Linked DNA regions of Mus musculus. The protein of the gene in region 5 interacts with the protein of the main gene of each other region in a pairwise test. Links are inferred from orthologs where the notes say so. Each region holds a gene or a part of one and is shown on either strand. Other genes may lie near its edges.

Evidence for each region.
Region 1: the proteins of Fsd2 (region 5) and Spatc1l interact in binary tests that used the Homo sapiens proteins (3 or more experiments, as listed by UniProt). The two-hybrid records come from large-scale screens. The link is inferred for Mus musculus from reciprocal best matches to the Homo sapiens genes FSD2 and SPATC1L.
Region 2: the proteins of Fsd2 (region 5) and Cchcr1 interact in binary tests that used the Homo sapiens proteins (3 or more experiments, as listed by UniProt). The link is inferred for Mus musculus from reciprocal best matches to the Homo sapiens genes FSD2 and CCHCR1.
Region 3: the proteins of Fsd2 (region 5) and Fmr1 interact in binary tests that used the Homo sapiens proteins (3 or more experiments, as listed by UniProt). The link is inferred for Mus musculus from reciprocal best matches to the Homo sapiens genes FSD2 and FMR1.
Region 4: the proteins of Fsd2 (region 5) and Fam107a interact in binary tests that used the Homo sapiens proteins (3 or more experiments, as listed by UniProt). The two-hybrid records come from large-scale screens. The link is inferred for Mus musculus from reciprocal best matches to the Homo sapiens genes FSD2 and FAM107A.
Region 6: the proteins of Fsd2 (region 5) and Esd interact in binary tests that used the Homo sapiens proteins (3 or more experiments, as listed by UniProt). The two-hybrid records come from large-scale screens. The link is inferred for Mus musculus from reciprocal best matches to the Homo sapiens genes FSD2 and ESD.
Region 7: the proteins of Fsd2 (region 5) and Brd8 interact in binary tests that used the Homo sapiens proteins (3 or more experiments, as listed by UniProt). The two-hybrid records come from large-scale screens. The link is inferred for Mus musculus from reciprocal best matches to the Homo sapiens genes FSD2 and BRD8.

Annotation. Positions count from the first base shown.
Region 1 is NC_000076.6:76,560,858-76,565,115, forward strand, and holds the start of Spatc1l (speriolin-like protein), read left to right. Parts: upstream 1-1,414; 5' UTR 1,415-1,488; coding exon of another isoform or gene 1,489-1,492; 5' UTR 1,493-1,508; coding exon 1,509-1,710; intron 1,711-2,990; coding exon 2,991-3,338; intron 3,339-3,907; exon of another isoform or gene 3,908-3,948; intron 3,949-4,258.
Region 2 is NC_000083.6:35,515,773-35,520,214, forward strand, and holds the start of Cchcr1 (coiled-coil alpha-helical rod protein 1), read left to right. Parts: upstream 1-1,480; 5' UTR 1,481-1,969; coding exon 1,970-2,167; exon of another isoform or gene 2,168-2,192; intron 2,193-2,378; exon of another isoform or gene 2,379-2,444; coding exon 2,445-2,511; intron 2,512-2,606; coding exon 2,607-2,820; intron 2,821-3,369; exon of another isoform or gene 3,370-4,420; intron 4,421-4,442. Other genes in the region: Tcf19 (transcription factor 19-like protein), read right to left, coding at 106-343. UniProt on the Homo sapiens protein: May be a regulator of keratinocyte proliferation or differentiation.
Region 3 is NC_000086.7:68,702,255-68,706,074, forward strand, and holds part of Fmr1 (synaptic functional regulator FMR1), read left to right. Parts: intron 1-1,408; coding exon 1,409-1,518; intron 1,519-2,994; coding exon 2,995-3,126; intron 3,127-3,606; coding exon 3,607-3,669; intron 3,670-3,820.
Region 4 is NC_000080.6:8,299,604-8,303,423, reverse strand, and holds part of Fam107a (actin-associated protein FAM107A), read left to right. Parts: intron 1-1,887; exon of another isoform or gene 1,888-2,071; intron 2,072-2,190; coding exon of another isoform or gene 2,191-2,195; coding exon 2,196-2,365; intron 2,366-3,757; coding exon 3,758-3,820. UniProt on the Homo sapiens protein: Stress-inducible actin-binding protein that plays a role in synaptic and cognitive functions by modulating actin filamentous (F-actin) dynamics. Mediates polymerization of globular actin to F-actin. Also binds to, stabilizes and bundles F-actin.
Region 5 is NC_000073.6:81,549,773-81,553,592, forward strand, and holds part of Fsd2 (fibronectin type III and SPRY domain-containing protein 2), read right to left. Parts: intron 3,422-3,820; coding exon 3,191-3,421; intron 2,148-3,190; coding exon 2,125-2,147; intron 254-2,124; coding exon 132-253; intron 1-131.
Region 6 is NC_000080.6:74,730,824-74,735,277, forward strand, and holds the start of Esd (S-formylglutathione hydrolase), read left to right. Parts: upstream 1-1,473; 5' UTR 1,474-1,565; exon of another isoform or gene 1,566-1,666; coding exon of another isoform or gene 1,667-1,698; intron 1,699-4,454.
Region 7 is NC_000084.6:34,611,115-34,614,934, reverse strand, and holds part of Brd8 (bromodomain-containing protein 8), read left to right. Parts: intron 1-137; coding exon 138-187; intron 188-364; coding exon 365-487; intron 488-1,638; coding exon 1,639-1,719; intron 1,720-1,833; coding exon 1,834-1,898; intron 1,899-1,904; exon of another isoform or gene 1,905-3,182; intron 3,183-3,444; exon of another isoform or gene 3,445-3,559; intron 3,560-3,666; coding exon 3,667-3,803; intron 3,804-3,820. UniProt on the Homo sapiens protein: May act as a coactivator during transcriptional activation by hormone-activated nuclear receptors (NR). Isoform 2 stimulates transcriptional activation by AR/DHTR, ESR1/NR3A1, RXRA/NR2B1 and THRB/ERBA2.

The DNA.
Region 1 (4,258 bases), on a different chromosome or scaffold from region 5:
AAATCTGAAAAAAAAAATCACACAAACACACACACACACACACACACAAAGCTAATGGAAGGGAAAGCCATTCACGCACCCTGATCCCAGAAATTGGGAAAGGGGAATACCTGACTGACTTCTGACCAATGCTTTTATGTGCTCCACTCGCTGTCTTTGAAGGCTACTGAAAGCTCTTAGTGCCTCTCATTCAGGTTCCCATTGCCCTTGTTTGAGGAGAGAGGCCAATTGACCCAGCATTTGATATTTAGAATCTCTTTTCTCCACAAAATCTAAGCTTGCTGCACTTGAAATGTTATACAAACATGGCTGCCTGGACTGAATATAAAGATTTGTACCCAGGAACCATGCCAATGTCTGCACAGGGTGATCCAGACATTGATGGTGAGCCCCAGACATCGGCAGAAGAGGACCTGATAGAAGCTGGATTGGGATTTTCTGGTTGCATCCTTTCTCATCAAGGAGGACCAGGCAGCAACCCTTGGTGTCTCTGAGCAGCCAGTACAGGAAGACCTGATTCAGAGACAGAGCTCATCCACTTAGTGCAGTAGGAAGAGCAGGGTGCCCAGGTGAGTTCCCAGACAGCTACATCAGTGGACTACCATAGTTCCGCCCATCTCATGATCACTGGTTCATAGGGTCTCATCCCTACTTAATCTAGTGTTTGGCATGGAATCAGACACCCAGTGCTCAGTGTGTGCGGTGGACACAAATGTGCTGCCTGACGTCTTTTCATGAGGGAAGTGTGACGTGATCAGTAAGTGGCCTCCATTTCCAGCCCCGTAAGGGTTCCTCTAGAATCTCCCTAAGACTGGGGGGCAATCATAGGGTTTTGCCCTAGACTGATCATCTCTTCTTCTATTATGGGCCTTTCCTTCCTTAAGTATAGGTTCCAAGAGTGAGACTCAAAAACAGCATCCCATATCTCTTGTAGGATCTGGGAGTCCCATTGGCCTATGGTCCTGTGGAGCCAGGTAATGAGAGATTAACCTCATAGGCATATGTCATGGGAAGAGTGGCCATTGAGATGACAGCCAAGTCGCCACTGTGGCCTATGGGCTTCACATGGTATGGACACATGCCCCCCCCCCCCCCCAATGCCCTGTTCTGGCTGCTGCTGGAAGGTACTAGAAAGGTCTGTCCTCCCTGTCTAGGCTGCCTTCTAGAAGGTCACTCTCCTTCCTTCACAGTCCAAAGGCGAGCCGGTGTTATGAACACTCAATCCCTCTGTGGTTTGAGGCGCATGCCTACATACTTGTATTCATCTGTGTATCACCAGGTCCAGGTTGGTTGAGAGATGTCTGGGAGCAGAGGAGCAGAGGAGCAGATGAGGAAGAAGGACGTTCCTTGGCTTTGTGGCGCCGCCTCTTTAAGGGTAACGACATCACAAGGCTGTGGAAGGCCAGGCAGCGTGGAACTCCGTGGCCTTAGGCTGTTTCTGTGGGGTCTTCGGGCTCTGTATTTCCATCTCCATGGGGCCACAGGCCCATGTGTGAGTACCTGACACCATGGCAGAGGGTAGCGAACTGATGAGCAGGCTCATGAGTGAGAACGCAGACCTGAAGAAGCAGGTGCGCCTCCTGAAGGAGAACCAGATGCTGAAGAGACTGCTCAGTGAGAGTTGCCAGGAGAGCTGTGGTCGAGGGAGCCGGGACCTACTCTATCCCAAGGTCCCTACCTACCCTGAGGCCTGCTCCCCAGGGAATGGAGGTGAGGTGCAGGCTTAGCCAGGACAGGGCAGCTCTACCTGGGAAGGGTTGTAGGGTTTAGATTGGCTGGTGGCTATGCTGGTTGGTAATGTCTCAAAGCACAGCCACCTGGCTTAAAACAGGCAGGGTGTGATTCCAGGGCTCCAGGCTGCTGGTGTCCTTTCAGTGCTCTTACCCACTGAGCCATCCTGCCAGCCCTAGTCTTGCACTTTCACATGTAAAAGGCAGTTTCCCCAGAACCATTTGTTGACGAGATTCTCTTTTCTCAGAATTTTTAGGTTTTGGTTTATGGGCCCACTTTGGTTTTCTGCTTCTAACCGAACTGTTGGACACCGGTTCCAAGAAAACATTATTCATGTTTCTAGCTGGTGTACAACCAGCTGTACGTAAAGCTCTTTGGTGCTTTGAAGGGTATATAGATAGACAGGCCTTCAAGGACTGATGTGTCTTACAAGGGCAGACAGGGAGGTGTAGCATCTTGCGGGTAAGGTGTTATGCATTGTTCTTATAAAACACTTTTGGGAGAGAGCAGTGGTTCCTGCCTATGTATATTTTAAGGTATGATTTTTGATAGGTTCTAAAAAACACTTTCTCAAGTATGCTTGCTTTCTTGCTAAGGGAACCAGCTTTTAGGAAGTAGATAGGGACTTGCAAAGTCAAAGAATGGCTAGATAAGTTACATTTGATGGGGACCGAGAAAAAACCACGGCAGTCCAAGATGCACACACCGGAGCTTAGGAGGGGCTCCATCAAGAGCAGGGAAGCACACCCAGTTGCTGACCGCAACAAATAGTTTTTTTTTTTTCAAGTACTGAGCTTTGAGCTCAGGGTCTAGCCCATCTAAGCAAGCGTCCTACCCCTGAGCCACCACACTGAGCCATCGCTTTGCAGTCATGATGAAATGAGGTGGAAAGTTGTTGGCTGGGCGCATGGGCCAGCGGACAGAGGGACCAGGTGATTCACGGGTGGCTGGATATGGGTAAATCCGAAAAGATTTACATTGCGAAAAAACTTAGCAGGACGGCGCCGTGTGTGATGAGTTTGAAAAGCATGTGGACATCACTCTAGTGAGTGTGGTTGTGAGCCCGCGGAGGAGTACATGTTTACTGTTGAGTTCAGGAGGCAGGGAGGCACTCCCTCTATCTCCAGATGAAATGCCAGGGGGGAGGGGGAGGGGCACCGCTCTGGTTGGGAGCCGTACTTAGCACCCACAACCTTGCTTCCAGATGTGTCTATGAGTACCACCAGTCTGACTTATGGCCCTTTTCTGCTCCATCCCAGGTCCAGATTTTGGAAGGTTTGCCGGTGTCCCTGACACGCCCTCCCAGCTACCGACATCCTCTCTGGAGGACCTACTATGCTCCCACGCCCCACTCTCCAGTGAGGACGAAGCCTCCCCAGGCTGTGCAACCACCTCTCAGATGCCTTTCAAGTCCTTCCTCAGCCCTTCAGAACTACACTCGCGGATTGCAGACAGGAAGCTGTCCCCGCTCCTGAGTCCCTTGCAGGACTCCCTGGCTGACAAAACACTGCTTGAGCCCAGGGAAATCTCGAGACCTAAGAAGGTGTGCTTCTCGGAGAGTAACCTCCCCACTGGGGATAGGAGCAGGAGGACCTATTACCTCAATGGTATGGTACACACAGGTAGCCCTGGGTGGGGAAACCACGTTTTAGAGACTTGGCTCTGGCTAGCTTCTCCAGTGGTGAAGAGTGGGAGGAGCGCTAGGGTGGGCCTGGGTCCAGGATTAGGTCTGTCTTGGCCTTTTGAAAAAAATGTGGAGATGCTCATCCTTGATATTTAGCTGAAAAAACATTTTTTCATGCGGTTCCATATCTAAGTCCTTCTGGGTTTATGTTCCTTAGGTATTGCCTCCCAGTCTGAGAGTTTCCCACTGTTTACTGTTTGGGCGCAGGGTGAAACTTGAATATAGTCGTGTAGAATTTCCTGATAGCTTTCTTTTACAGTTTGTGCTTTTGGGGATCTACTTTAGGAAGTCTCTGTGAAGGCCAAGGTTATAGATGCTCTTTAATCTTTTAGAGGTCTCGTAGCTTTAGGTTTTGGATTTAGGTCTCTGACTAGGACCAAGTGTTTGGGGTTTTGTCTGTGGTGTGAGGTTTGCTTGTAGAAGCTATTCCAGCGCCAACTCTTGAAAAGATGGCTCCTCCTCATGGCATGGCCTCAACGTCTTCCTGCCTGTGGAGCCGGTCTCAAATCCAGTCAGAAAGTGGTTGGTTACTCCTATAAAATTCATGCTGTTATGGTATCAGAATAATAATATTCTGTTTGGCAGGTCAGCATTATAGCATTTCCACTGCTAGGGAGGAGGGGTGATAGCTCCCCTAGCAATTTACATAGCATTGTCTACTGCTATAAAAGCTGCTAGCATTGGGGCAGCTTCCAGCTTGGTTCTCAATTCCTGGGCTTTTAGTACCCACAACTTTGCAAAATGACTAAGAAAGAAACACACTGAAAGGCGTAAAACTTTCAATAGCCAAGAACAGTTATAATCGTGGATTAGAGGACTTAGTATTGTTTAATGGTCGATATA
Region 2 (4,442 bases), on a different chromosome or scaffold from region 5:
GGAACCAAGACTGCTCACCAGACTAGGACTCTGGGAGGCAGGTAGCAGGGTCCCAGAGGCTCCTCTTACTCATGCCTGTCTGGGGCTCTTCTGCTCATTGCTTACCTTGGCTGCTGTGATCCTCCAGGCTGACCCTCCAGTCGTCCCCTTGGAGTTCAGCATGCAATTCCGCATGGACTCCAGAGATGAGGCCGGGCTCCTGCTGGGGCCGCAGGGCCACATCACACAGGTCGGCCCTGCAGCCCAATCGATAGGTGCAGCCAGACTTGGACGGGGGGTGGAAGGTGTAGAGGTCACCGCCCCTGCCGCCCCCTATACGCAGCAGCTGGAAACAGGGCAGCATGGGGGGTGCCCCCTCTGCACCACTTTGCCCACCTCAGAAGTCCATTCCCTCTCCTACTCCTGGGTCATGCACCGTGGGCTTCAATTCAGTTCTCTCTGATGTCAACAGCTAAGTATTGTGCCTAATGCCAACTTAAGCAGTGCAGATTCAGAGCGCCAGAGGCCTGGATATGCACCAAGACAGAGGCTGTCAAGATGAGGTTTAAAAAGCAATTCCAGTAAAGTCCTGATGCGATGCAAAACCAGGAAGACGTCTTGTGGCACCTCAGTGAAGCCGGATCCTCAGGCGGCTCAACATCCGGGAGCCTCCGACAATCTGTGCAAGGCAAAGCTAGTTTAAACCGCAACTGGGAACAGGCAGAGGGGGTGAAGGGGCCCTGGTACACAAACGTGCGTGTGACACGGGTCTTCTCCCTAAGTGTAACCTGGAGTCAGGGAATTTATGGTTAAACTTTCTAATCCAAGTAGCGCACCCCTTCCATCTTTCCCCCCCACCCCCGCTCTTCGGATCAGTTCCCCTAAGGGAAGTGAATCCACTGTCACCCGCAAAGGGCGGCGCAGACGGGTCCCTAATTCTGTAACAAAGTGGATCTCACCCTTTCTTTTTTTCGCTCGCGGGGTAAACTGAGGAAGGGATTCCGTACCCTGCGTCCCGCGCTCCCGCCGAGGTTTGACAGCCAAGGAAGCCGCCCCGAAGGCGGGGCTTGGGTGAAGGCGCGCGCGCGCGCTGCGCAGACTCCTCCTTCGGAATTCCCGGGTCCGACTTCGCGCCCGCGAGCCCGCCCCCCCGCCGGCTGCTTCTGATTGGCCATCTGAGTTGCACCCATTTGCTCTATTGGCCGATGCGCAGGGGGGAGTTGCTCATCTCCCGCTCTCCGCCACTTCTGATTGGCCGGCACGTTTTCCCGGGTTCCCGGGGAGAGGAGGGGCCGTCAGGGCGCGGAGAAAGTTTGGGGCGTCAGGGTGCCTGCTTGCACCTTTCTTCTTCCTATTTCCGGTAGGGAGAAATGGAGCTGTAGAGCAGCCCGCCGCCCCGCGCATGCGTGATCTGGGTGTGGCGTCTAGACTGGGTGCTAGGTGTAAGGGGCGTGGCAAGAGGGCGGATCTCGCGCTGGGTAAGGGGCGTTCGGGGAGAGTCAGTTGGGGGCGGGAAGAGTCTGAGAGGGGGCGCAAGGGGGGCGGAGGGGATCCACAGGGCAAGAGGGGTGCAGGAGCTGGGTCAAAGGATAGATGAGGAGGTCAAGACAGCCTCAGAGTTCAGGGTCCTGACGGGGATTAGCCCGGGGTGTGTGCGGGAGAGAAGTGGGGGAGACAGGACAGGGAGCGACCAAGATAATTCCATCGAAAAAGACTCATACTAGGTCTAGGAAGAGAAACGGGTAGGAATCGCGGGGGTTGAGTGAAAAAAAAAAAAACCCAAAAACTTGAATTCTGATGGAAGTGGGGGAAAGAAGATGCTGTAGGACTCCGAAGAGAGATGCATCGGGAATGGAAGCCGAGGGGATAGAGAGCAACTGAGGCCCGTTACAGAGAGGCCCAGATGAGTTGCCAGGAAGCTGGCTTCCCAGCAACGGGCTCCCGGCTGCTCCGATTCCTCAGGGATCCTAGGGAAGACGCTTAACCCCACATGTGGCCTCATTCTTCCCGGACCAGGCCTTGGGCTAACTCTTTAATAGGAAATGACTCAGAAATCCTGGCTCGATGGTGCCTAGATGGGCTTCCCAACGGCCCTACCATTCCATGGCAAGGACTGTGGAGAGTGGGCTCCTTATACTGTGTCCAGAGAGTCCTGAGCTGCAGGGACCGTAGACACTTAAGGAGGAAGGTAAAGGCACACCACCCACATTCCTGTAAGTAGAAGGAAGCCTCGTCTCAGTAAATTTACCTTAGGGTTGTTGCCTGGTTCATTCTATCAGGAGCGTAGTTGGGACAAGCAAGTGGTTTGGTTACCGTGTGCCTTAGGGAAGTAGGAAAAGAGAAGCGTACAGCCCGATAGACCTGTCAGTAACTTAAGGATTATGACTTTGTTTTTATAGGGCTTTTTCTTTGGAAGGTGGCCTGAAAAATTGAATTGAAGTATCCTTGTTTCTCCTATTGTCCAGGGGAACATAGGTGACTGGAGACAAGAGCTACAGGATTCATATAACAGGAAGATGTTGCCACCGTCAGGTCAGTGAGGCTAGTCAAGGAGACCAGGATCATCTCCCTCTTCCCTCTCCCCCTCTCTCAGAATCTGACAGTCTTTATTCTTGTGACCCCCTCAGGTTTTGCTGGGCTGGTTCCTCCCTCCCACTTCCAAGCTCGGCCCCTTCCAACTCTGCCAAGAATGGCCCCGACCTGGGCTTCAGACGTTCCCTTGGTCCAATCTCCGGCCAGCCAAGATGTCTTAGAGAGACGGCTAGATGCTCAGAGGTCGACAGTGACCACGTGGGGACAGGATTTCTGTGGAGATGGGCAGGGGCTAGGGCGGAGAGGCAGGTAGGGATCTGCCAATCACCTCTTCCTCAGACTGACACATGGTCCTTCATACACGCATGCCTTCATTTCAGCCCCTGGTTCTATAACTTGTGTGGTTTTTCTATAGGCCATTGTTGGCCCCTACGACGCATAGACCACATGCGTTGGGGTTAGTGAGAATAGATGTTTGGACTTAAATTCTCATTACATAAGGAATGTAAATGTCTTAAGGGAGGGGATAAGTTCTGCAAAAGCTGTTTTAAAGCAAAATGACGTGCAGCTTAGACATGCTGACCCAGTTCTCCAGAGGCATACTGGCTCCTTTTGGAGTAGTTAAGCAGGCCTTTACAGGAATGTGCAACTGGAGCTGGCTATGCTCTGTGAATGTGGTTTTATTTGTTTTTTTTTTTTTGTTTTTTGTTGGTTTTTTGTTTGTTTGTTTTTTCAAGACATGGTGTCTCTGTATAACCCTGGCTGTCCTGGAACTCGCTCTGTAGACCAGGCTGGTCTCGAACTCAGAAATCTGCCTGCCTCTGCCTCCCGAGTACTGGGATTAAAGGTGTGCGCCACCACGCCTGGTGTCAATGTGTGTTTTAAGACTATTAAAAAAAATTTTTTTTAAGGTTTATTTAGTTTTATTTATAGGAGTACATTGTACTCCTATACACACCGGAAGAGGGTATCAGATCCTATTACAGATGGTTGTGAGACACCGTGTGGTTGCTAGGAATTGAACTCAGGACCTTTGGAAGAGCAGTCAGAGCTCTTACCTGCTGAGCCATCTCTCCAGCCCCTAAAGAACTCTTAACCTCTGCTCCAACTCTCCAGCCCTAAGAATTTTATTTTTGAGCTTAGTATGGTCTGCCTTTAATCCCAGCACTAGAGAGTCAAAGGTAGGCAGATCCCTGAGTTCAAGGCCCCAACCCTGGTCTAGAGATTGAGTTTCAGGACAGTTAGGGCTGCATAGAGAAAAACTTGTCTGGAAAAAACAACAACAAAGACTTTATTTATGTGTGTATGATTGTGTGTGAGCATTCATACTTGGAGGCCAAAAGAGGGTGAAGGATCCTCTGTAGTTGGAGTGACAGGCAGCTGTCAGCCTTTGAATGTGGGGGGCTGGGAACTGAACTCAGGTTCTTTGCAAGATCAGCAAGCGCTCTTAGCACCCCGAGCCGGCTCTCCAGCCCCTGTGGACATTCGGCTCTGTGTGAATGAGCATTCTTACTTCTGTTTCGTCTGTGTCTTTCCCCCAGTGTCCTGGGGTGTCATTCTGTCAGAGGGGCATGTTAGGAGACAGATTGTAAGGAACTGTGGCAAGTCATTGCTAGCCTCCAGTTAAAGGAAATCCTGCCATTCTCAGGGACAGAGATGCCTCTGGAGCCTCCACATAACCAATTCAGATATGCAGACGCCTCAGACTCCCTGTGCAATGTACCAAACACTCACGGAAAAAGCCCGCACCAAAAGAGCAGGGTGTAACAGTGAGTGCCTGTAATCCCAGTTACGCCTGGGAAAGAGTCTTAGAGAAGACAGATGCCAGCCTGCTGACATAGTGCAAGGTAGGGAAGTCCCCTGGCAACTGAGAAATCAGGAAGGGAAGTGGAAGACACCATCGGGAAACGTGAGTGACTTTGTCATCATAG
Region 3 (3,820 bases), on a different chromosome or scaffold from region 5:
CCTAAAAGTTTGTGTGTTCTATCTAAACTTTGACAGTGAGTTTGTTTAGACGAAGTACTTAGTTATTTCTTAATAGAAACATGCTAAAGTCCTACTTTTCTTTATGCTAATTTGCATCTTTATTAAAATCAACTTTCATGGTTATGTAAGGATTTTACAGAAAAAAAAAAAAAAACAAACTCTGAGAATACTCCAGGTAGGGATTTTTGTACGTTCTTCATTTCATTTGAAGAAGAATAGAACAGACATAATGAGATTTTTAGATTAGAAATCCTGGTTTAGTGGCATGAGTTTTGTTTTCTACCACTGACCAAAGAGCTCAAGGTGGAAGAGTATGAAAGCCACACACAGCAATAATGTCAAAACTGTGGCTCTGATTATAAGAACTATGAGTCCTTCTGCAAGACCTTTTGCTAGTTTGTTATTTAAAGTAGCTAGGAAGCAACTTCTCTCTTTTCATCAATTTGCCTGCGCTGAGGAGGCAAAATGAGCATATAGAAGCATTTCACCCATGGCTTATCTAAGTGCTTAAGTCCCCCTAGAATCTGGTTTGCCTCATGTGTAGGTTTCTAGAATTAGTAGTGCTTAATTTGTAAATTCTTGCTTTACACTCATGTATGATAGTGGCTATGAAAGCAGCCATGTCCTAGTTTTATATATAATTGAATTTTGCACAGTGGGGCAAACAATTGCTATTTAGAACTACTACTAGATTTTTCTGAATTTCAACAGATGTTACTAAAGAATACGTATAAGCCTTTTCATGGTAGTTTTGGAGTTATCTGAAAGTGTGCTTTACCTATGAATATGTATGCTACTCTACATTGTGACCAATGCATAGAACTAATATTCTGTTATTAACATTGGCTTGAAGAATTTTTGTTCCTTTTAGATATTTAGATAGCTTTCTAAGCTCCTGAAACTTAAGAGCATATTTTCAAATGTGTCATACATAATTCTAAAAATAGTTCCTATGTATATATGAGGAAATGTGAATCAAAGCTAGATGAGAATTGAAATTGTCAAGTAAGCAAATACATTTATTATCCTTCTTTTCCTTAATTCCTTTTGTAGAGCTTTACAGAGTGCTAAATACCACAGTACCAGTTAGTTTAAAGTATACGGTCTTATGTGAGATAAGGGGTTCTCTTTGAGTTACCTTTAAATTTTCAGAATTACCCAATCAGTTCACAAGTATTAATCAGCTGTAGTATCTGACCAAATGAGTTTAAAAATGACCTAATCAACGAGAATAATTTATAATTAAACTATTTTTTTAAAAAGCTTCTGTTTTGAATCTTATAATCCAGTATGTATATGTATTTGAATGTGTAAGATAGTTTATAGTGGAGTGTGCTTGTACGATTTGAGTGATGTCCTCGAGTCAAACATGAATTATTTATTTTAGGCAAAGTAATAGGAAAAAATGGAAAGCTGATTCAAGAGATCGTGGACAAGTCAGGAGTTGTGAGGGTGAGGATTGAGGCTGAAAATGAGAAAAGTGTCCCACAAGAAGAGGTATGTAATAGTGCTTATTTTTCTGGTTTTGTCTAAGAGAAAGAGTTTTGTTTGTCTTGTTTTATTTTTTTAATGTATTAATACAGAGGCTCCTGTATTACATGCATATAATATTTTTTTTCTTTTTGTGGTACTCAGAATCAAATCCAGGACTTTGATAATTGTTCTGACTATTGGACATGCTTAATACTATAGATACTAGACTATCTGTTTTGGTTTGGCTTGGTTTTTGTTTTTTGAAGACAGAATTCCTCAGTGTAGCCTTGGCTATCCTGAAACTCACTCTTAGACCAGGCTGACCTTGAACTCAGAGTTCTGCCTGCCTCTGCTTTACAAGTTCTGGGACTAAAAGTGTGCACCACCACCCAGTGACTATGTTTTCTAATGCTGGACTTTAGATAAGTAAATTTATCCTGTATTTGTCTTCATTTTGTGATCTTATAATGGGTAGTCATGAGTTTGCTATTATAAGGTGTATATCACTGGTTCAGCCATTAATGAATGACAAAAAGCGTGCATAGACAGCCTTTATAAATGCTTTTGATTGAGTGTTAATGTGGTAAAGTAAGTTCATTCTGTGTGTGCTTTTTCTGCACATGATCACTTCCCCCAACATGACTTTGATAACTCTCAGTCCTATCTACCTGGACATATGCTTATTGGTGTAACCTTGTAAGTATTTGTATGGAAAGTGGAAAGGGACAGTATAACCCTTGATGCAGTTGTACTCTCAAAATGCTGTCCACGCACAAGCTTATAATTTTCACATTAATTAGCTGTCTTTTGTGAAAGATTATTTTAATTGATGTTAAATCAATTTAGTGTTTTTTTTAAGGTTTAATTCAATAAAGTTTGTGTGTGTGAGTGTTTGGAGGGGTTGGGAGAAGAGCTCAGTTGTGAGCTGCTAAGAACCAAACTTGGTTCCACTGTAAGAACAGTACATGCTCTTAACCTCTACAAAAAGCCATCTCTCTCTAATCCCTGATTTGGTTTTTAATTGCATAATTTTTATGCTCTATGGGAGCTGGTGAGATGGTTCAGTGGTTAAGAGTGCCGACTGCTCTTCTAAAGGTCCTGAATTCAAAATCCCAGCAACCACATGGTGGCTCACAACCATCCGTAACAGAATCTGATGCCCTCTTCTGGAGTGTCTGAAGACAGCTATAGTGTACTTATACATAATTAATAAATAAATAGTGTACTTATACATAATTAATAAATAAACAAACAAACCTTTTAAAAAAATTTATGCCCTGTAATTTTATATGTCAAAACACTTTATAGTAATCTATAGTCTTAACCATCATTGTTAATGGGAAAAGATGAACTTCAAACATTGTTCCTAATATGTTGAATTATCAGATTTCTTTATAAATAATTAAGTGGATATGCTTAACAAAAAATATCACTGACATGGTAATAGAACCAAGTTCTCATAAAATTGGAATTTTTTGTGTTTTATGTTTTTTTATCAAGGAAATTATGCCACCAAGTTCCCTACCTTCCAATAATTCAAGGGTTGGACCTAACTCCTCTGAAGAAAAGAAACATTTAGATACAAAGGAAAACACCCATTTTTCTCAACCTAACAGTACAAAAGTCCAGAGGGTAAGAATTTGTCACCTCTAACCACACTAAAAGTAATTTCTTTGACGCAGATTCCACATTTGGTATTTGGGCTGTTTTTTCTCGTTAGATTTGTAGGCTACTCTTACTCTATATTTTCACATAGGTTTGGTACCATATGAGATTACAAAACAAAGTAATACATATTTTTTCAATTTATTCACAGTGACAAATCTTAAGCTATAAACCTAATGGGGTCACTTTTTTTCTGTTGAGGGTGGACTTTTTTTTTTTTCATACTATAACTCCTTAAATTTTGCAGGTGTTGTAACTCAAAGTGTACCTTCTATTAGATGTGTTAGTTACTTCTTAAAGCCATATTTTAGAAACTGATTTTCACTATTTGAACTGACCTATTTAGAAATGCATTTAGAAGTCCTGCAGTGAAAGTCCTGCGTTCAGGCTTCTGTGTATCGTTCATTATAGTTAATCACATCACTTGCATTCCTTATACTGCTTTAGGTGTTAGTGGTTTCATCAATTGTAGCAGGGGGACCCCAGAAACCTGAACCCAAGGCTTGGCAGGTAGGAAACTATTCCTTGAAAAATACATTTTAAGTTGATATTTTAATGTTTATTCCCCTTGTTAAGAAAGACTACAAATGAGCCTCATGGTTGGGGGCTGGTGGAGGAGTATTTGTGGGTATTTGGATCCACAGCCCTAGGCTAAATCTCA
Region 4 (3,820 bases), on a different chromosome or scaffold from region 5:
AATACCACTAAATGATTAATAGTTCTCCATTGCTGGGACTGGAGGTTGAGGCACCAGTGTGAAAGAAGTTTAAGGCCCACCTCGGCTGAGAGACAGAGAATGTGGAATCTCGGTGTGTGAGGTGGGGACATGCTACCTCCATTGCCACATGGAATCCAACTTAGACCTCTGGTTCCCCAAGATCAAAACCTCAAGTTTTATCACCAATTACCTATCACAAATTACCAACCAACATTACTGAGTGTTCACTGAATATTACATCAAATACTATCTATGTTCACCACACAGAAAAGGCTCAAACCTACCAGCCAGGCCAGCTGACATGCACTGGTTAGTCCTGCTAGCACTACGGAGGTGGACAGTGTCAGAAAGGGGGTTAGGGTGCTTCCGAAAGCCCAGCCTAGAAAGGAGGCAGAATCTGCCCTAACATTTTCTGTAATTACTCTAAACTGCTAATCACTAATCGCTAATGGCTAACAGCCAGGCAGCGACTGTCGTTGTTGTCGTCGTCGCCCCACCCCCCCACCCCGTGACTTGTTTTTATAGAACTCTCCTCCCTCTGCTCCCCTCCCCCATTTCATTTCCTCTCCTCTCCTCCCCTCCTCTCCTGTCCCCTTCCCTCCGTCTAAGCATTTCAAGTATCAGGAGCTGTCTGGGGCAGAGAAGCCTTTCTGCCTAAATCTAAAGTACATTGACAAATATCCAGGTACTTGGTAGAAGTGGGACACATGAGTGTGGCAGGCAAGACAGTAGCCGTGTGTTTGTTACAGGGGCACAGCAGCATTTCACATACTATTCTCTGGTGTGGAGAATAGGGAACCGCACCTCTGCCATGACATCAGAACTATGGCTAAGGAGGTAGACAATAAGAGATGATGCTTTCTTTTATCATAGCATTTATCCAAATTGTCTTTAACTGCTACAGATTGTACACGCGCATGCACACACACACACACACACACACACACACACACAATTTACACCTTTTCCTTTCCTTACACAAGTTTGTTGAAAAGCAGAAACTTAAACGTAGTCCTTTTTGCTGTTTGGTATTTTTTCTCTTCTGTCAGTGTCTTGTCTTAGTAAGAGTTCCCAGCACACAGCAACATGCCAGGCTTTTCCCTGGGTGCTGGGAATCTAACTCAGGTCATTATGTTCACATTACTATTTCTGTGATGAGACACCATGATCGAAAGCAACTTGGGGAGGATAAGGTTTATTTGCCTGGCACTTCCACATCACTATGTATCATCAAATGAAATCAGAACAAAAACTCAAACCAAGCTGGAACCTGGAGGCAGGAGCCAATGCAGAGGCCATGGACAGGTGTGGCATGCTAGCTTACTCTTCATGGCTTGCTCACAGGATGCTTTCTTATAGCACCCAAGACCACCAGACCAGGGACAGCACCACCAATAATGGGCACCCTCCACATTGGCACTTATTACGAAAATGCCCTACAGGCCTGCCTCCAGCCTGTTCTCATGGAGGCATTTTCTTCAATTGAGGTCCCCCCTTAGATGACTCTAGCTGCTTATGTCATGTTGATGCGAAACTATCAAGCACAGCCAGTGACTATGTAGTTATATGTACTCGTGTGTGTGTGTGTGTGTGTGTGTGTGTGTGTGTGTGTGTGTGTGTGTGTGTGCATAGCCACATGGAGGCCAGAGGTCATCCTTGGATGCTATTCCCCAAGCACTGTCTACCTTGCATCTTGGAACAGGATCTCCCACTAGGACATGAGGTTCACTGATTAGGATAACAGAGTGGCTGGTGAGCTCCCCATGTCTCTACCTCATGGTGCTAGAGTTCCCAGCACACAGCAACATGCCAGGCTTTTCCCTGGGTGCTGGGAATCTAACTCAGGTCATTATGTTCACATTGCAGACTCTTTGCTGATTGAAACATCTCCCCAGTCCCGTGACAGCTACTGTGAGCCTTGGTCTCTATTCACTTCTGAACCCCACCTCCCAGAGAACATCATCTCCAATAATCACAACAAGCTTTTTCCCCTTGGTGGAGTGACCGTTTCCCACAATAGAGAGGCAGAAAGCAAGACTTGCATTATCAGGTAGCTAACCCAAATTGCTCAGAAGCCACTGTCTGTGTGAGAAAGCCCCCACTAAGCTGCACCTCAAAGGGTGGGCTGGAATGTGGGACGTGAAGTAACGTTACTTCCCATTACTACAGCCTCCATGTACTCAGAGATCCAGAGGGAGCGGGCTGACATCGAGGGACTCATGGCCAGACCAGAGTACAGAGAGTGGAACTCAGAGCTCATCAAACCCAAGAAGCTGCTGAACCCTGTGAAGGCTTCTCGGAGCCATCAGGAGCTGCACCGTGAGCTGCTTATGAACCACAAAAGGTAGGGTGGCATCCAGCTGGCTGGCTTAGAAAAATGCTTCTTAGAGGGGCTGACCTAGCCATTGCCTGGAACCCCAACAGGGTCACCAGAAGAAACTGTGTGAACCTGAAAGCCCTACCCATTTGCTGTGTGCTTAGATGCCCTACTGTGTGCAGGGCACCATGCCCACACCTAAGATACAAAAGACGGAGACCCAGTTTCTGCCCTCCCCAGGGGAAAAGAAAGTTGCTGGAAGCTTTAAGTGAATGTGGGACCCCAGAGGGGCTACTGGGATAGGGGGACTATCTATATGACATCATGGAAGAGAGGATATCTAGAAGGCCTAAAGCAGGGGCAAGAGCCAACCCTGCTGAGAGATGGGTCGTGTTGGCAGAGAAAACTGGAGAGAGAGCACATAAATATTGTAGAGGGTTCAGGTAGTGATGGCTCTTTCTCAGCCACACCCTCTGTTGGGGGAGAGCATGGCAGTGAAACACAAGAGTCGGGGGTGGGGGGAATGGGCTATGACACATCTGTGATCAGCAATCACAGGATGTCAAGTGTAGGAGAGGGTGGCTGAGGGGCCCTTGAGAGGCTAGAGGCTAGAGGCCGAAGCTTATGGTACCTTCATGGCGCCCTCTGCCGGCTGGTTGTTGTATTGGAGCTGGACGTGATTTCCATTCTAAGTCATGCGACAGATACCGCTGGCACATGGAGCTGATTTTGGGTTTGTTTTCTACTAATATTATAATATTGTCATGTTCTCAGTTGTTTTTGCGATAATCATTCATTTCAGTATCAAAAGTACCACCACGATGGAAAACAGCTTCAGGCAAACTGAAATATTTGCAATATAAATAAATTCTATTGAAAATTACATATACAGTATGAAATATTCATATATTCGTGTACCTTAGTCTACCAGGAAAGGGTAAGCAAAATGAGTGGGATTCATATGCAAATGGGAAAATGTGAATGCTAGAAACACTTTAAAGTTCATTACATGTGACTGGTAATTAAGGAAACATGAAAACCAGGCATTGTTTTTTGTCTCCTAGACTTAAAAGAGTTGGCTTGTAAAATGGGGGTAAATATATATTTTTGTAAGGAAATTAAATCCCATGAGATTTTAAGAGAGCGAAGGCCAGCATTTCCGCCATCAGAAGCTCTAGTAAAATATCCAGCAACCATGTGATACCTGGTCTCTGTCTGCAGCCGGGTCTGAAATTCTCACTCACCTGTTGTACTGCACCTGCCCTGCTGTGTTGTGGGAGGGGGGCCTCTTTGCCTTTCTATATAGCACGGGGCAGTGAGATCGCCCCCTTCCGGTGTTTCCCAAACGCTCTAAGAGATAATACAGGGACTGTGTCCCAGGCTAGGAAAGAGTCTCCTCACTGTTCTCCTTACCCGCAGGGGCTTGGGTATGGACAGCAAGCCTGAGCTGCAGCGAGTTCTAGAGCACCGTCGCAGGAATCA
Region 5 (3,820 bases):
TCTCTCTCTCTCTCTCTCTCTCTCTCTCTCTCTCTCTCTCTCTGTTTCTGTTTCTCTCTGTGTGTGTCTTTGTCTCTCTGTCTCTCTATCTCATCTGAGCTGCTGTGAAGATGCACAGGTCAGAGGCAAACCTGGAATGGTATTGATGGCGTCCATCAGCTGCTCCACATCAGAGAAGTCCAAGGTCTGGTCTTCAAACTCAGGTTGTGCAGAGAGCTCCACATCAGTTTTGGTTTTCAGGAATTTCCCCAGTCTGTTGGTATAAAAAGACACGCCCAGCGGTTGGTTGGGGAGTTGGATCAGCAGCTAGGAGCACTGGATAAGCCGGGCAGTGGTGGCGCACACCTTTAATCCCAGCACTTGGGAGGCAGAGACAGGTGGATTTCTGAGTTCGAGGCCAGCCTGTTCTACAGAGTGAATTTGAGGACAGCCAAGGCTACACAGAGAAACCATGTCTTGAAAAAAAATCAAAACAAAACAAAAGGCAGCACTGGGTGCTCTTCCAGAGGTCTTAGGTTCAATTCCTAGCACCCACACGGCAGTTCACAACCCTCTGTGTCTCCAATTCCAGGGGATGTGACACCCTCTTCTGACCTCTGTGGACAGCAGTACACACAGGGTGCACAGACATACATGCAGGCAAAATACTCATACATGTTTTTTAAAAGCACACATTCATACAAAGATGGAGGGGCTTTCTTCTTAGGGTACATTTGTAGTGCTGGGTCATTAGGAAGGAATGAAGAGGCCTCTTTGTTAAACTTGTATTTCCTCACGTTTGTGGATTCTGGTATCTGATTTGGTGGGCCTGGAGGTTACAGTTTTAAAGTTTTGTTGCTTTGGCAAATCCCTGAGACAAGCAGCTGAAAGGGAGGGAATGTCTACTTAGTAGCTGCTCACAGTTTCAGTCCACGATCAGCTGCCTCTATTGTTCTTGGCCCTGTGGTGGAAGCATGGTGGTGGCAGGGAGCACAAAATGGAGGAAAGTTTCTCATTTTGGGGCAGCCAGGAAAGCAGAGAGAGAGATAAGAAGAAAGGGTCCAGGGACAAGACATATCCTTCAAAGGATTCTCATTCATAAGACCAGAGCTCTACCCGTCCAATCCTTTCTCCAGATCTCTGCTTGAGAACATATCCTCCAACCCATGAGCCTTTTAGAGAACACTTCCTACCCAAGACATCTATCATTGTCTCAGCCTTCCCAGGGGAAGAGGAAGGGCTGAGCCTAAGGGCGGGTAGAGTCCATCCCATGCTTTCTCCACGCCCACGTGTTCTTGGGGCTTCTACCCTGAAGACTTACACTCCACAGTGTCACGGGCCCTCCCTCGCGGTGGGGCTCTGGAGGCTCTCCATCAGCGGTTCTCAATCTTCCAAATGCTTGCCACCCTTTAGTACAGTTCTGCATGCAGTGGTGACCCACAACTATAAAATTATTTTCATTGCTATTTCATAACTGTAATTTTGCTACTGAGCGGTGTCTCGGTTCCTAAGACCGTCGGAAATACGTGTTTTCTGATGGTTGTGACCCACAGGTTGAGAACCACTGCTTTAGCTGTGATTGCTCCCGGGCAGTCATAAGGCTTCTAAGTAGCAAAGGCAGATTTGAAATCCAGGCCCATTTTTTGCCAAAACATATGTACTTAGGCCCTCATAGTCTTAAGTTCCCCATGTGGCTTCACAGACCCTGTCGTATGTTCCCACAGAAGCACCTGTTTGTAAATAGGAAAGGTGGGGCTTTGGGCTTGGAATCACTATGGTAGCAGGATTTACGCTCCACCGTATCTGACTTTAAAACGAACATGCTTTCTGCCTCAACATGACCAAGGGCTGAGGAGGGCATGTTCCAGTCCCCATCTCTCCCAATAAAACAAAGTTCTTGTGTGTGTGAGGGGGACCTGAGCACAGGCTTGCTGGATGGACTTCACCAACCGTGTTCCCTTCCAGCCCAGTGATCCTAAGTGTCAACACTAAAGGGGCCTACTGACACCACACCGCCATTCCAAAGCCAGCACTGTTTTACTTATAGGGTCACCGAAGCTGAAAAGGGAAGCCATAACCCAGTGAGACTGAGTCTAGAGGCGAAAAGAAAGGAGAAAAGAAACGAGGTCAGGACGGAAATATTACCTGTCAGTCATAGCCACTGCATCCTGAAAAGAGAGAGAAAACAGTAGACCGATTTAGGACATAGTTTTCCCAACAATATAATAATGTAAACATTTTTAACTGGAAATTAGGGAAAGGGGGAAGTCACCCTAATGAATCTACCATACTTGTGCATTTCCTTCCATTCTCCCTGCACCTTCCACGCCACACAGGGTCTTTTGGACCTCTGACTCCTTAACAGTTCCTCTGCTGTAGGACACCGTGGCTGTCTGCATGTTCTCATTATTATAAGTAATGCGCCTTTTTCTATGTTCTGAATGTGAGATACAATGGCACCCTGGGGCCACGGGCTCAAGAGGTTGAGCACTGGTGTTTCTCGTGGCTCCTGCCACATTGCTCTCTATCTTTATGTGTGGATCTCTCACCATGATCACAGTGGGAAGGATGGATGACTGGGCTTTGAGGAGCAGCTGAGGGTTGGACTGTGATGAGGTCAAACTCAGCATCGATTCTGAAGACCCCTCCTCAACCCTTTGTGAAACCAACCACATCTGCCCCATGGGATCATGGGACCCTGTGAGATCACTGAGGTGGAAATTCCCCTCACTCTGCTATATGGGGTTTGGGTCAGATTTCATATGACTTAAATATAATTAAGAAATGGATTTGGGGCATATGTATGAAGTTATAAAGCAAGATTATATAACTGCCACCCTTGGCACAGAACAATTTAAAGTAGCTTACTGATGTGGGCCAGCTTTCCCTGAGAGAGCCAAGAGGCAGCTAGGAAACTCTCGGGACACTGCCCTTGCTCCACTCCATGACCGAGGGACAGTCAACAACCAAGGGTCTGAGGGACAAAGCTTGGAACTCCCTGGGGACTGGCGAGGAAAGGACCAGTGGTGTCTGCCTGTCTGGCCACCAACGAAGTGACGAGGAGAGATTAAGGGACAGCCTCCCACCATGAACCACAGATAGTCAACTCAGCGCTCCAGGAGAGAGGGTAGGCTAGCCCACCCCCACCCGAGGCTAGACCTGGAATCTCATCTCATGGTTTCATGGCTTTCTTTCCTGATTCGTCACGGACCTTTAAGAACTCCACCTTTTCCTCATGACACATCTCCTCTACGGTTTCCATCAGCTCCCTGCAGGCATCGAGGTTCTCTCCACAGCTGACCAGTTGTCCGTATAAGGCTTCCAGTTTCTCTCTCTTTTTCTCCCCCAGAGCTTGAATTTTTTCTTCATACTTTTGAGCGAGGGTTTCCAAGATCCCATTGTAATGGCACTCAAAGTTTTGTTCCTGTCTTCCAAAATTCTCCTGCAAGACAGCGGACCTCAACCATCATTTCAGTGGATGGGATAGGTTGGCCAGAGTCACCGGGGACATGAAACCCTGACCTGTTCATCTTGTCACATTACTCTGTCTCTCAGAAGTGTGCTGCAGTGAATGCTGAGGACTCCTTCTTAGGTCCCCAGGCACAATCACTAATTAATTAACTAACTAATGCATATGAACATGTATGTGCACATACATGTCTGTGCATGTAGAAGCCAGGGGACAACCTCAGAGGTACCATCCACAGGGTCTCTCGCTGGCATGAAGCATGCCAGATAAAGGAAGGCTGGCTGGCCAGCAAGCCCCAGAGATGCTCCTGTCTCTGCCTCATGGCACTGGGATTGCAAGCATGCATCTCTCACGCACTTTTCTATGTGGGTG
Region 6 (4,454 bases), on a different chromosome or scaffold from region 5:
GATCTAGTATAATTTCATGCTGACTGAGAGAAACTGTCATTATGATTATTACCACTAATATGGATACAAGAACTCTTTGGAGTTAGTTTGTACCTTAAAGAGATCAAGATACTAATTGAACACCCTTTAAACTTTGTTCAAGCATTTAACAATTAGAAAGAATTTGCAGACTTGGGTAATCTTTCATAACTTCAGTTGTGAAACTCAGTTTGAAAAAAAATTACCTTTCCAATAAATTACATTTAAAAGTAGTTAGCTTGGGAGTGATAGAGTATACCTTTAATCCCAGCATTCGGGAGACAAAGGTAGGGGGATTTCTGAGTTCAAGACCAGCCGGTCTACGTAGTAAGTTCCAGGCTAGCCAGAATTACATTTAAGACTCTGTTAATAATAATAATTTTAAGAATTTACCTTAATGCTTTCTCAAAATAACATTCTTTGGTTAACCATTAAACAGGTACACAAATGCCTGCCACATGACACAGAAAAGCAACGTTCTGCGTGGCAGCTCATCCACACAGGTTATATTCCACTGAGCTCAGCTCACCTACTTGTTTTTTAGCCTGACTAGCCACATAACTTGCAAGTCCCCCAGCAAAACTAAGATGGAGAGCCTATACACACAGAGCAGGCACTGGGTCCTTCTGACAGTTTGTTGCAAATGCACAGGCTGCGTGATTATTAAACCAGACAATCTTACAGGTTATACATAGTATCCACAACCTAGCAGCCTAAATACTGGTTTTAAAAACTGCTTGTAATATTTAATTTTCTGAACAAAGTACACTTGCTGGTTAAATTGGATGAAGTTGAGAACTGCTGTAAATGATTAACCAGAAACCCTGACACAGTTCAACTTTTATTGAGGGAAGAGGGGAGAAAAAAATGGACATTGAAAAGAGTTAATGAATGTGTCCTCCTCCTAGAAGCTCCAAATCAAGCAGGTGCAGAGTAGATGTGGAATGAGGGTGGAAATGTGAAATTTCTGCTCAGGTTTCCAAACAACTGCAGAGTTCCACACAAGCCCTTTCCACAAGTTAACTGGGAGAGGCCAGCTGGTGTACTAGAGCCTCATTCTCTTGTTGCCTTCTGGGAGCATCTGAAGCAAGTTACAGAGGTCTAGAGGTCCAGTGTCATGACAGACACACTTTTGGCTCATCCTGACACACCGCGGAAACAGGAACCCGGCGAAAAGTCTCTTGGGAATGGCCTTGTAGGGGAGGGTCGGGGTCCGGGAACTCCTAGTCTCCCTTGGGGTGTATCCATAGGGCAGGTCTGCTAGGAGAGTGCGCGCCCTGGGGGCGGTGTCTCAGAATGGGAGCAGCTCAGGAGGGAGGGCTGGGGAGGAGAGGGGCAGAGAAAGGGAGGGACTTGAGGGCGGGGCCGTGAGAGGGGACCAGAGTAAGCGGCCAAAGGAGGGGACGGGCCCAAAGGGAGGAGCCTCTACGTGGGACCCGCCCCGGAGGCCGGGGCGGGACATATGGTGTGGGCGGAGCCAGAGGCAGTGCTCGGGGCGGAAGCCCCAACCTTCTTCCCTGGCGAGTTAGAAGCTGCCCCTCACCGAGGTAAGATGGAATGGGTCGTGAGTCCCAAGCATTCTCTACTACCTGGTTTTCGGGCGGCTGTGCGCGGACGCCTAGACCTGCGGTGGTGATAGCAGCGGGGAATGGTGACGATCTCTGCACCCTTCCCGCCGCGGTAAGGCAGGCCTCGTCCCGCAGGGCCTGCTAATCGCTTTAACTTCGGGGAGCTGGAAACAATGTGTGACCTGGGGCGCCAGGCTCGCTGGGATGCTCGGGTTGGTGGAGTGCCCGCCGGGACGGCATTTCGCCGAGCATTCCCGCGCGGAGCCCGGGGAACGCTTTCCCTCCGGGATCCCAGCCTGGGCTGCAGGCGACGCCACTAGGGCCCTGAGGTGTCTTGGGCAGCGCGCTCGAGGCCGTGCCCAGTGGTAAAAATTCAGGTGTAGGCGGCCGTCCATAGGTGATTTGTGGTTGAGTCGTCAGAAAGATGGCACTTATGTTATTTAAAATTAATAAAATTCACCATTTTTTATGTAGGCCATATTAGGCCTAATGGTCAGCAATCTATAGGCATTCTTTGAAAAGTTAAAGGAATGAAACCCCAGGCTTCTATAACAGTATTGTTTGTAGTGGGACATACTAGTAAGAAAGTAGACTAAGGTTTTAATTAGCTCTTAGCTATATATAATTGCTATGATGATACTGAGATTTTGTTTTATTTTGTTTTTGAGACATTGTAGTTCTGACTGTCCTGGAACTCACTTTGTATACCAGGCTGTTCTCGAACGCCTGGTTCTCCAGGGATTTAGGGCGCGTGCAACGAAACTTTTAAAGTTCAACTTTTGAGACATTTCAGATATAAGATAGGCTGTACAGGCAAGGATCTAAGTTTAATTTTAAATGTGTTGGGTTTTGCTATAGCGATGCGAAATAAATGCATAGCAGTTTGGCACTAATGCTTAAAATTTGAATATGAAAAGACAGATTTAGATTTTTCAGCCCAGAAGATGTGTTTGAAATTTAGGGACTATGAGTTAGGGGGAAAATATGTGACAAGAACTGGGAAAGGGGCGTGGGGTGGGGGAGTTGGGAACTAAGAATGAAATAGAGGGGGGGGGAGGCAGGACAGGCTTTGAGTAAAGAAATGGTGGTCAGGACTGTGAATTTATGCCTTCCCCAAAGCAGCAGAATATGCTTATTCATTGTGAAGCAGCAAAAGTGTGTTGCCATTGTCAAAGGTCTGTGACTAAGCCCTGACTAAGTCTGGAGGCAACTGTATCTTAACAAACAACATAGGTCCTGAGAAACTTAAGAAAGTTCATTCTTGGGTGAGCATACCAGAATCAGCTTATGCAACCTAGATGGTACTTTGGAGTGTGAACATGTACAAGGTATAGAATATGGTAGGCAGTTTTAACACGATGGCAACTACTGGTGTGTCTACACACAAAGGAGACAGAGTAAATTATGGCATAAAAGATTTTCAACAAATAGAATGCCAGTAAAAGAATGCTTTTTGTAACTAGAGCTTACAGGTCCAAAGCAAGTCAGTAAGTCAATTTTGCTATGAGTTAGGGAATGTAAGTGACCTGGACGAAGCTACACTAAACCTATTTTAAAATATCTTATTCATACTTTAACTTTTTTTTTATTTTATAAACTGTAGTTTTTAGAGCCATTTAACATTTATTATTACAGTGATGCAAACTTTTTTTTAAATTTTATCAGCTTTTTTCTGGTTTTAGTTTTCACAAACTTTCTATAGAAACGAAGACACAATCCCACAATCTTCAGGGTTGATTCACAGGACCACATCCCATGACTGTCTTCTGCATCCACATTTCATCCCATGGAAGTGCTTTAGGGTACATATATGGAGCTATCCTCCCCGGCAGACGCAGTTCCTTCTCCATAACGCCTTCTGTAGTGAGCACCTGCAGGAGGCTCCACACACACACACACACACACACACACACACACACACACCCGCAGACAGTAGCTTACTTATTTCTGTCATCTTGAGTTTGATTTATAAGTGACTGGTGCACATGAGCATTCCTTTCCATTGATAAAAAATCCATGTGATATTTGGTCTCAAGTTTTTAAAGTATTTAAGGAGCTCGTTGAGCTTTGCAAATGGCTCTGTGAAGTCTGTCACTTGGTGTTGTCTTCCCTCTGCAGCTACGTGTGTCCTGGCTGACAGGAACTTTTAGCTCTACTATACTCTTACAGGATCACTGTCATAGATGTAGGATGTCCTTGACTAAACCCTCCCTGTGCTGACTGTCTGTATTAACATAGACCAGACTTGTCATATTCATATGACAATTATCCATGTGACAGAGAAGCAGTATTTGCAATAACATATGAAACATTAAAAGTTAATATTTTGTGTGTTACAAATCAAGCTATCTATGAACGGAGGGTACTTTATCAATGTGTAACTACCCTAATCCTATGGAATTGGCTCATCTGGCTTATTTTTTTTTTTTTTTTTCGAAAGAGAAAAGGAAACAGAAAGTTCCATGATCCTCTAGGCGGCCAGACCACAAAGCAGCTAAGATCTCTGATGGTAGCCCTACCAAAGCTCAAATCACAATTCTCCACTGTACAACTAAGTATCCAGATTAAGAGACAGGACTGAGATTACTCTTAATTGTGCAAAAACATTTTCCAAAATTCACTTTTCAAACTAGCGTTACACTTCTAAGAGTAGCCTACAATAGAATCCAGCCAGCACCCAGTGAGTGACATCACTGATAAGACCACCAACGTGGTAAGGCGTCTTCCTGGTGTCTGTTACTTTAGTTTATATTTTGTATTATATAGAAAGTGCTTCAAGGAGTGGGAAGGAAATCTTTCCATGCCAGGTTTACATCAGAATCAGTTCAATTTTTCTTTATTACATAATAGGTATTTATGATAAAAAAT
Region 7 (3,820 bases), on a different chromosome or scaffold from region 5:
CTGCTTCCCACCACGGCCAGCTAACGACACAATCGTGAATAGATATCCTCACTGAGACTTATTACTCTTTGTTGAAACTCTGAAAGTTTGTTTCCGAGCTTGCTTATCACATTTTTCTTTCTTTCTTTCTTTTATAGCATTGTGCTTCTCAGTATTCTGAGCTCTTAGAGACTACTGAGACTCCAAAGTGAGTATAAACCCAGGTACATCTGTTTGGTCAGGAAGGGTTCACTGTGGAAATATATCTTACTGGGTGAGAAAAGTATAGCAGATGTTATGATTACATGGTAGAAAGGCTCAAAGAATACAAGTGGAAACAAATGTCCTCTTACTTAAATTTGGATTTATTTTTTGTTTTCCACAGACGGAAACGGGGTGAAAAAGGAGAAGTGGTAGAAACTGTTGAAGATGTTATTGTTCGCAAACTGACTGCTGAGAGAGTTGAAGAACTGAAGAAAGTCATAAAGGAGACACAGGAGAGATACAGGTAGTTATCAGGTGATTTGGGAGGGGCATTGGACAGACATAAAAAGCTGACTTCTGGTACATACAAGATTAAGTTGGTGTTTATGAGTGACAGGGTCTCACTGTATAGTCCTGGGCTGGCCTGAACTCTGTCTGTAAACTAAGCTAGAGTCCATCACCCTCTGGTGGCCCTTTTAACCCTTTTAATCCTAGCACCTAGGAGGCAGAGGCAGGCAGATCTCTTAAGTTCAAAACTAGCCTGGTCCTCAGTGAGTTCTAGGACAGTCAGGGCTACACAGAGAAACTTGTTTTTAAAATACAAAAAAGAGGGCTGGAGAGATGGCTCAGTGGTTAAGAGCACCAACTGCTCTTCCAAAGGCCCTGAGTTCAAATCCCAGCAACCACATGGTGGCTCACAACCATCTGTAATGATAACTGAATCTCTTCTGGGGTGTCTGAAGACAGCTACAGTGTACTTACATATAATAAATAAATCCTAAAAAAAAACAAAGAAGGGGAGGAGGAGAAGAGAGGGAGGGAGGGAGGAAAGGAAAGAAGGGAGGGAAGGAGGGAAGGTGGGGAATGTAGTTAAAATGCTGGATGCATGCATGGTATGTCTACAGCAGCTACTCAGGAGTTTGAAATGAAACGGTAACTTGAGACCACAAGTAAAAAGCTCTAAATGTGGTTTATAGTAGGTGGTGATTAGACAACTCAGTGGCAGAGATGGAAGGGACCCAGGTGGTAGGAGATGGCCTGTGACCTCATGTGCTGTGAAATGTGTCCACCTGTACTTGTACACACACACACACACACACACACACACACACACACACACACTAATAAAGTAATAAAAGATTATGGTAGCGCTGGGTGTGGTGGCGCACACCTTTAATCCCAGCACTTGGGGGGCAGAGGCAGGTGGATTTCTGAGTTCGAGGCCTGGTCTACACAGTGAGTTCCAGGACACCCAGGGCTACACAGAGAACCCTGTCTTGAAAAACAAACAAACAAAAAAAAAGAGTATGGTAGCTCATGCCTGTAATCCCAACATTTGGCAGACCAAAACAGAAAATTTTCATTAAGTTTGAGCCCAACTAGAGGAGGGCCCTGTCTCAATAACCCAGAAACTTACTGTGAAGAGGACTGATGTCTGCCTCTTTGTTTCTATAGGCGTCTGAAAAGAGATGCAGAACTAATCCAAGCCGGGCACATGGACAGCAGACTGGATGAGCTCTGCAATGACATTGCAATGTAGGTTCCATTTGTGCTCTGCCAGTGTGTCAGAATACTTTTTTATGAGTGTGTTGTGAACTATGGAGAGGAGCTCGAGCTGGCTGATGTAGCTCAATTCTTTTCCTTTTTTAGGAAAAAGAAATTGGAAGAGGAAGAGGCTGAAGTAAAAAGGAAGGCCACCGATGCTGCGTACCAGGGTGAGCTGAGTTTAGTGCTTCTGTTAGCATTGACCATGTGGTTCTGTGTGCTAATGACAGCGTTAGAGGAGTGTGATGACCACTGCTCTATGGAGAGTTAGCTGTCACTTGTTTTCTAATGTACAGTCCACTGGTTTTGTTGACTTGCAGCGTTTATCATGTTCCTCCCCTTCTTTTTTTCCCCTCAAAACATTATTCTTTTTGTTTTTCTGCTAAGGATTGAGCTGAGGGCCTTGTACATGCCTGCTAAAATTAGGCCTCCAGGTAGCAATAAATAAACAAGCTTTCACAAGGATCGGCGCCTACCCCTATCAGAGTTCTTTCATCTTTTGTATTTCCCATTTACTAATTTTTGTCATGTCCCATGATTTCCCAGTCGTAGACCATGGATCAAGCCCAGTGTCTTAGGCTCCTGACTGATCTGCTAAACTGTAAGGCAAGGCAGTTACAACTTTTCCTCTTCTCTCTAAAGTTTGAGTGATTTTGAATCTCTGGAGCAAACTGGCAGTGAACAGGAAAAATGTAAAGATTTATTGTGTGCGTATGCATAGCAGTCTCATAAAATAAGGTGTCTGGGTAAACCCTTGCTTAGCATGCATGAGTCTTAGTCTCTAGCATAACAAACAACTACAGAGAAAGAATCATTCCTGTTATCTCTTTTTCTAACAGAATAAACCATCCTTTATGTTCAAGAAGAAATACTTCGAAAAATGAGGTCTTTCGTACTCCCTAGGTCTCCAATTTACTTGTAGGACTCACAAGCTTGATAATGGCAGACTGAACATAATTTAAGGTTTTATTTATTTATTTTTATTCTCTTCATATATTTATTTTTGAGTACTCCCACCCCTACCCCCAAGATAGGGTTTCTCTGTGTAGCCCTGGCAGTCACTTTGTAGACCAGGCTGATCTCCAACTCAAATGAGCCTCTGCATTTCTTGTGCTGGGATTAAAGGTGTGCCCCACCACCACCCAGGTTTTTTTTTTCCTTCAATTTTTTTTTTTTTTTTTTACATTTGTTTGTTTGGAAGTGGAGGCACAGATACGTGTCACGTGGTGGGTCTGTATAGACCAAAGAACAAGCTGTGAAAGTCCATTCTCTCCTCTCACCAGATGGGTCCCAGAAATTGACCTTAGATCATCACAGCAAGAACCATCTTATTAACCTTAATTAAGGCTCTAGAGCTCAGAGGCCAATAAAAAAGGTCAGCCGTGAAGTGAGCCAAGTGCGGAGGTGTACGTCGTTATTGCTAGCGTTCGGAAGGCTGAGGCAGGAAGATCTCTGTGAGTCAGTCAAGTTTGCATAGTGGGTTTCAGGCCAGCTAGGACTACATTGTGAGAGACACCACCCACACCCACACCCACCCCTTCCTATAATCCCAGAGTTTGGAATTGGAATCCAAAGGAGGATGGGATGAAGAGTTAATTGCAAATGATCAAGAGTTCATCTTGGGTGGTGAGGTAGGAGGGAAACATGGGTGTTAGCAACTGTAAGACAGACTACATGGTGAGAATCAGTGAGGCCTTCTCCTCTTTCTAAAAGCAGATTCTTAAGTTGCTGCAGAAGATGTTGAGATGTAAACCATGTGCTACAGCAAGGACCTTTGAAGTAGTTAAGTAGTTAATTTGTTTAATGTGAGAATCGCCCTGAGTTTGAAAAACTAAACTAAAAAGTAATAATAAAATTTCTAATCTCTGCTTCAGGGTATAACAGTGGCTGGTTTCACTTATTTAACCCTGAAGATTTCGTCTGTTGCTTCTGTTGTAGCGCGACAAGCAGTGAAAACGCCTCCTCGAAGGTTACCGACTGTGATGGTCCGCTCTCCTGTAGACTCTGCCTCCCCAGGAGGTGATTACCCACTTGGAGACTTGACTCCAACCACTATGGAAGAGGCTACCTCTGGGGTACGTGTATCTGTATT